Linked DNA regions of Caenorhabditis elegans. The protein of the gene in region 2 interacts with the protein of the main gene of each other region in a pairwise test. Each region holds a gene or a part of one and is shown on either strand. Other genes may lie near its edges. The genes, in order: nhr-111 and flh-1.

Evidence for each region.
Region 1: the proteins of flh-1 (region 2) and nhr-111 interact in a two-hybrid assay, tested with the Caenorhabditis elegans proteins (2 studies listed by BioGRID).

What each region holds. Positions count from the first base shown.
Region 1 is NC_003283.11:16,123,110-16,127,035, forward strand, and holds the start of nhr-111 (Nuclear hormone receptor family member nhr-111), read right to left. Parts: upstream 1,731-3,926; 5' UTR 1,673-1,730; coding exon 1,621-1,672; intron 1,213-1,620; coding exon 1,102-1,212; intron 1,060-1,101; coding exon 889-1,059; intron 693-888; coding exon 553-692; intron 498-552; coding exon 408-497; intron 367-407; coding exon 195-366; intron 146-194; coding exon 1-145. Other genes in the region: fbxa-143 (F-box domain-containing protein), read right to left, coding at 2,754-2,960, 3,008-3,638. UniProt on the Caenorhabditis elegans protein: Orphan nuclear receptor.
Region 2 is NC_003282.8:9,262,462-9,266,387, forward strand, and holds the start of flh-1 (FLYWCH transcription factor 1), read right to left. Parts: upstream 1,803-3,926; 5' UTR 1,771-1,802; coding exon 1,754-1,770; intron 1,242-1,753; coding exon 1,016-1,241; intron 968-1,015; coding exon 197-967; intron 151-196; coding exon 1-150. Other genes in the region: Y11D7A.19 (NADH dehydrogenase [ubiquinone] 1 alpha subcomplex subunit 13), read right to left, coding at 3,349-3,735, 3,788-3,886. UniProt on the Caenorhabditis elegans protein: Probable transcription factor. Binds to the DNA sequence motif 5'-[AG]GGCGCCG-3' in the promoters of target genes, including micro-RNA genes, in order to repress expression, and acting redundantly with flh-2.

The DNA.
Region 1 (3,926 bases), on a different chromosome or scaffold from region 2:
TGTCTAGTAGAATAGGATTTAAGCTCGCCGAGGAGAAATAGAAGCCTTCCAGATTTGGACTTTGAAGACTCCAGGTGCAACTGATTGAGAAGGCCGATACAGATATCAAGTTGGCGATCGAATTTGAGATCAGTGCCATCTTTGGCTGAAATTTTAGTTTCTGAAAGCTCAGCAGCTTTTCTAGTTAAACTTACTTTCCGTGAAAATAATAATTCCCTTCAAGAGGAAATAATCCTGCGCCGAAAGTTCGAGGGATTTGAATTTCTCAGCCAGTTGTGCAAATTTTTCATCGATGAAGATTTTTTCGGAGTTTTCGAACAACGCGAGGCACAAAAGATGTGGCCACTGGGTCAGTATGATCTGGCTCTGGAAATTTTTTTAATGACTTTTATGTTTGGCATTTAGACCTTTTCAACATCGGAAAGCACTGCGAAGAGCGAAAACTGTTGCACCCACTGGAGTGCGTTTTTCAGATGAACTAGCACGGAGCTTGTGTCCTGAAATTAAATTTGTGGTGTCTCAGGTTGATAGTTTGTCTCCTGATTAACTAACAATTTCATGTTGAGCATGTTCGTGTTGGAATCTGAGACGATCAGAGTGAGTAGGCAGAAGTCCCTTGGAATACTCTCGGAATGAGGGCAACTCGACATACTCTACAGTGTAGCTATGGGAAGTTCTCTCGGGTTGCACAGCTGGAAAATAATTATTTAGAGACGAAACTGTGTCGCCTTCGCCGGCTTCAGGAGGCTTCTGCCGGCCTCAGGCCTTTGTTAATATGGTGCGGCGCGAAACTCAAAAAAATGTCGGCCACTGAAAAATACCTACCGCACTATATGGTGCAAACACAAAGTTAATGATCTGAAGCCCAAACTCAGAGAAGCAGCTTACCATTCTTATTCATCCCCTTCTTGAAGCACTTTTTAATTCGACAGGACTTGCACCTGTTCCGGTTCGCTTTATCAATCACACAGTTTCCGTCTCCATTCCAACATCCATGTACCAACTTGTTTCTAACGGTTCTTCTGAAGAACCCACTGCATCCGAAACAGGTTGGCACACCTAAAATTCATTGTTATCTAGTTTCTAAATCTTCTTTCCAACCGTAATGATTTCCGTTAGAAGTGTCCCCACAAACTGCACAAAGCGTGATTGGAAGAGTTATGTTGTTTTGCGCGGGGTCATTTACAATCTGCGGTTGGATGACCAGAGGCACTGAAAGTTATAGATATGCGTGAAAGATTGTAAATCTTCTGTCATAAAACTTTTGAACTAAGTAAATTGAGAAGCTGATAAGTGCGGTCAAGTTTTGTAAGCTTCTGGTTTTTCTACTTACCGCCCGCAAACCTCTGTCAGGTTATAACGTAACTGGGATCTAAATAATGGAAACATAGAATACATTTTTGAGATGTCAACAAGTATAGTACAAAAATTGCTATCAATCTGTTCGAAAATGTCAAAAAAATTCCAAAATCTAGAAAACAACGTTGCAAGTTTGTTTTCGACTTCTAAAAATTTTCTGATATATTTTACCAAATGCTTTCATTTATACATTTCGGTGAGTTGAGTAATTATCTAGTTAAAGCATGAAAAAATTTTTCGATCCCATAAATTGGGGCATACCTGTTGAAGTTTCCAAAATGCCACCGATTGACTTCGCATTTTGGCTGCTCATCTTTTTTTGTTAAATATTCTCTCGTTGAGTAAGTTGAGAATATCCTGTCAGTATCTACAATAATAGCATAAAAATAATTTGGTTACTGCTCAACTTCTAATCACGACTCCTCCCACTTGACCTGTTGGAGGCAGCCGGCTTAGTACAAGAAGGATAAAGTGACAGTTAGAGAAACGAGAGAAAAGGTGCCAAAAGTTGAGCAGCAATCTCTCTAAAATTTTTTGCAGATATACCATACTTCAGATCACTTGTGTATTTAAAGTTGAAATCAATCAGAAGCAAACATTCACTAGGGAATGATCGAATTGAAATAAAATTTGGACTATAAATTGTTGAGTCATAGAAATGCGGAAATTGTCCGCTGGAAATATATGATATCACATTTTCTGAAAGCGGAAATTTTCGTAATATATGTCATTTTTCATTTAAATACTTTTTCATTTTAAACGAAAAATGTCTTTAAGCTAACCTAGCGCAAAAGATGGTGGAAAAAAAACTGAGATCTTCATTGAAAATTTCAGAATATTCAGATTTCGATTCAGTTGTATATTTAATTAAATTCTGAAATTTGACATACATTTTCCAATTACGTACTTTTCAGATTTTGGTCATTTTCAGTTAAATGCAATAAAGATATAAAACTGTAAAACCTATGTATAGCATCTAGTATACTCGGAAACAAGTATTTTCTCACATTCAGTTTCTAGTCAAAAATATCAAAACGCTCTCAATGTGAAGCACAAAAGCCCAGCAAAAAATTGACTGAACCGCACCAAACACATCTAAAAAATGCCTACTGCTTCCTAGCCTACACATGTGCTCACCATTTCCCGCAGCTATTCCTTTTTATCGAATCGTACGTCGTTATCCGTCACTGTGTTTACACAAGTCTAATTTTTCAGAAGAGCATATTAATCATCATTCCATTTTTTATGGCTCCCTACTGAATGGGGTGATCAAAAACTGAAATTATGCAAACTGCAAAATTCTACTTTTGACCTGAAATTCGAGCCGTCGGTCTGTCTCAAATTTATTCAATACAAAAACTTTTAAAAAAAATCATATTTTTTAAAATTTAATTTCAGTCACTGTCCACAATCTTCTTTTTTGTCAATCGAAAGTGTTCTGTGCTAAAGTCCAAGATAAAATCTGTGCCATTCTCGTTATAATCAATTTTGGCCCGTTCTTCTCCTTCGTAGTCCAGAATGAAAACTCTCACTATTTCGATAATGTTGGTTTCGGGGAACTTGAAGCACCCGTTCTCGAAGTCCACTGATTTTGTGAGCAACTGAAAATAATACTTGGATTTTTTTTCGATTTTTTATTTAAACTTACATCTCTCAGTTTTACTGCATCCTCTTTTGAAAAGCAAGGTACAATTACATAGAACTCTCTGAAATGGAGCATATCCTCGACAGAAACCTTATAACTCTTCCAGAACGAATCAAAAACTTGTGCTCTTTTCCATTGCTCAAGTTTAGCGATTTTCTCGAGATCTGTGGGCTCATTGGAAAGCAGCTCAATTTTTTCAAGATATCCAGCTTTTAGGAAAGGGATCACTAATAGAAGCTGCTCCTCGGAGAAATCTGTCCCATGAAACTTTTTAACGTGTAGGCAAGACATGGAGGATTTCAAAACATCAAGAAGAGTTGAAAAATAAGTCCCAGTTTGCTCAACATCAACAGAAAGCTGAATCGGAAATTTTTCCAAGCGAAGTGCCGGATTCTTCATGATAATTCCAAAGTCATTGAAAGCCACATCAACAGATTTTGCACCAATAATTGTTTTTGTCTTCTGTCCATACTTCAGGACACAATCACGTCCCACGCTGCTATATTTGATTTCCATGTTATCCACGAGCAATGATGTGTAATTCTTTTTCACAAAAAATCCTAGAGTTTTGAAGCCAGGGTTGTGAGTGTCAATAACTTCTCTCATTTTTCGAGACACTTTTCGCACAATTAATCTGAAAATAGAAGATTTTGAAATGATTTTCAAGAAAGCTGTAAGTTTAGGGTGCGCGGCAATTGCATAGTCCTGGTTATTGACAAAGTTACAGAAAACTAAAATTTATGAAAACCATACATATATATTTCATCGCAAAATGCTCATTTTTATTAGCTCAAAATACCAAAACCCCAAAGTGATAAACATTTTTCTCGTTTGCAAAGTTTAAATAATTTTCAGAATGTTTAGTACATTTTGTACATTCTGAAACAAAATCGGAAGGTCATATTTTTTGAAAATAATGAAA
Region 2 (3,926 bases):
AGTTGGCTGGAACATCGGATCTCTTCTCAAATCATGTTCTTCATTCGTCAAATCAGTAGCTTTTCTTTTGATTGCTGGTTGTCTATATGAAGGTGAGTCGTAGTTCTCTGTTGGAATTATTAGTGGAGCAATTGTGGCGGTCTGCAATGGCTTAAAAATTATTATAGAATAAACTTTCAACACTAAGTTGACATACCAAGTTTGGAGACATATGCTGTGTGTATCTTTCAGGAGTGAATTGTTCGTTTTTCACCATATTTGACATCTCCGTTTTAATATTATTTAAAAATGGCATCTGCGCAAGGAGCATTGAATGAGACGTCATTGGAGCAGTGGCCGAAGTTGACTGGAGAAAAGACGCGACCCCAGAAGATGTGGGTATTGAGCCATTCTGCATTGCTTGCGCATAAGCTGCTCGAGCCGCCACAATTGATGATGCACTTTGTTGCTTCTGTTGTTCTTCTTCTTGCTGTTGAACGAGCCTCTTTGCAGCTGCTTCTCTATCCGCAACTTGCTTTCGGATCTTTCTTCGTTGATTTGGATCAGCAACATTTCCAACTATGTAGACACGATTTCTTTCGATATTCGTTGGGTCCAATCCATAAAGTCTAACTTCTTCATCTATTGGTGCACTGTGATTGTGCTCATGGATAAACGTGAGGATCTTTTCAGTAACAATATCCGTATGCATTCGTGCTTTACAAGTGTTCTTGTATTCACATCTCCAGAAATATTTCTTTTGACATGATGAAAGCTTGTCAAATGTCATGAAAAATCCGTTTGAAAACACTTTCAGACGAGTTTTCTTTGGGATATCAGTACGTGGAGAACCTGCATCTCTTTTAGCAACCGCAGTGGATCCATTGGCGAGAGCGGCGGTCAATAATTTTGACATGGTGAGGCCTGCGTTGTCTCCGAATCCACCGGCACTGGCACTGGCAAGAAGTGCCTGTAAAACAGCGTTGTTCTGAAATAACAATCAAATGAAATAACATCTTGGATAGAGGAAACTTACTTTAATAACGCTAGACATATCAATTCCGCTCGCGAGCAACTGGTTAACAGGAGCAGATGTAGATGCTTGGGACACAATCTCCATTGGTACAGCTGTGACAGAAGTCGATGGTTCGGAAGTTTCGGCTTCTCCATCATCGGATCTAACTTCAGGAGCATCCGCAAGACTTGGAGCATTAAGAGAAGACGACGACGGAGGGGATGGAGAAGATATGTTGGAGTTCATTCTGAAATTAATAAATTATTCTAAGTTACATGGAAGATAAGACCAATTGAGTGATGAGGTTAAAATAGGAAGTAAAAAACTATGCAGCCAGACGGTAGACCAAAATCCTATTGGAATGACATATTTGTAACATTAGCAGCGTTCGGGGGTCTAAGTCTCTCAACCCAACGGGGAAAGGGCGGGACATTATGGTCCCTTCTTCTGCGTCTCTCTGATTCATTTGTTGTCTCTTCTAATGACGTGCGCGGTCAGCCGCTCGCGGACCGCGTACGCGCACTCTTGGGTCCGTTCCACTGTTTACACCAAAGAGGTCCTTCGTGGGAGGGCAATCGCAGCAAACGGGAGCAAAAAAAGACGACGGCATGGAGGCAGCGGGGACAGATGGTGACGTTGGATTACAGTAGATAGGGCGATGTTGGGAGGGGAGAGAAGAACGCTAGACGTGAGAAAAGGGAGACATGTAGGATTAACAATAGAGGCAAGCGTTTTTTTATGATTGAGCAGGAGCCTTACGATTCTGGCGAATACATCCTCCGATATTAGATAATTGGAAGACGCCGTCCTGAAAATAAATTTAGATTTTATAAAAATTTCGAATAAAATAGATTAAGATGGCAACGTGTGTAAAAAAACAAATACTGCCTGTAAAATACAAAAGCGAAAAAAAAAACGATTTTTAAACAAATGTCTCATAGTTGAGAATATTTTGATTTATTTTTGGTTTTATTTTTAGATTTGGCAAAAATAATTTAAAATAATCCAAAAGGAACTTCTGTTTATTTAGGTTGGTTTTTTAAGCATTTGAGAGATTATAAGAATAACTTTCGGTTTTCTTATAATTGGAAATTGAAAATTACTATTTTAACGATTTAATATGAAAAGAAATTGCGAGAAACACAGATCTGTCCAGAGAAAAAACAAATGAAACGAAAAATGATGAACAGTTATGCGCGTGGACTACTGTCACTCATTGACGTTTTTTGTGCAATAACGGCTACGATAAATTGCGTATCACTGGAAACTTATTTGAACAGGCCTAAAAAACAAAATAGAATATTGCATGTTGCTTTGGTGGTCCACGAGGTTGTGAAAATGGAAAATGAAATATCAATAAGTCACCATATATATTTTTTACATAGTTGCAGCAGTTTCAAATAGGAATTCATCTCTAATGGGATGATGCAAGTGAATTTTTCTACATTTCTCAACAATTTATTTGCAATGCAAGTAAGCAGCGAAATGACGCGAAATTCGCAATTTTTTTACATTTATTTACATTTCTCTACATTTCTCGACGTGGGAAAAAACACTCATTTTTCGTCAAAACCACGTCTTTAGTTCATGACTTTACCTTCCCAGACGTTCACGTTTGTGAAAAGTAGTGTAAAATGGGAAAAATAAAAATAATTTGAGAATTTTAAAAGATAGATGCGTGGTCATTCAACGTGGTTTTGAATTCTAAAATTTAAAAATGATCAAGTTTGATTTTTCAAATTTGGCTGTTTTGCAACACCACGTTGAATGGCCACGCATCTATCTTTTAAAATTCTCAAATTATTTTTATTTTTCCCATTTTACACTACTTTTAACAAACGTGAACGTCTGGGAAGGTAAAGTCGTGAACTAAAGACGTGGTTTTGACGAAAAATGAGTGTTTTTTTCAAATGTCGAGAAATGTAGAGAAATGTAAAAAAAATGGCGAATTTTGCGTCATTATGCTGCTTACTTGCATTGCAAATAAATTGTCGAGAAATGTAGAAAAATTCACTTGCATCATCCCATAAAAAGCATTTTACTAGCACATATGAAGAAAATAACATTACAATATTATTTGAAAATTCAGAAACGATCATAATCTCTTCCTCTTCTAGCCCGTACGTGGTTTGGCTTTGGTTCTTTATCAAAAAAGGGATGCAGCCTTTTCGGCTCACAGTTAACAATTTGGTGTAAAATCCACTTGTTGCTTAAAGTATGCAGCCGAAAATATTCAACAGAATCAAATCTATCAAACATTTTTTGAAAATTAACTTTTGTTTATGGGGTGCTGAGATGTATACAAAATTTCGATCTGAAGAAGAGAAGAAATGCATTTTAAAAGACCTCAGAAGTCATGGGAACATTAATATTGTGTGGAAGAGAGCTTCATCAACCGATGTGAGTGCCACCAAACAAACGAATTCTTTTCTTGGAACATGATATATTTGTGGGAGTCTTATTCGTTCTTCTACTGTATTTCTCGATGGTTTTATGGTGTTCATCCAACTCTGAGCAAAACCAAATCCCATTGTAATATTATCTTGTGCTCGCTGTGACCAGTGCTCTGGAATTCCCCTTTTTGGGCTGTTTGGAGGTACTATTGGATCATATTCTTTAGGTTCTGTTACAGGAGACCTTGTTGGAGACGGTGAATTGTGACGAGACTGTGTTGGAGTTTTTTCTTCTGATGACAAAGGAGATGGAGGATCAAATGGAAAGTACTGATGAATGCGAGAATCCTGAAAGAGAACAAAGGTTGCTCAGAGTTCTCATTAAAATTCAAAAACTGACCTTTCTAGGAAAAATTGGTGGAACTATGCATGAGCGTCTTCTAGGATTACTGTATGGACTGGAACGTTGAGATGTATCATTTCTAAGAACATGCCGCATGTATTGTCTTCGTTTCCTTTTGGAGAATCTCTTACAGGTC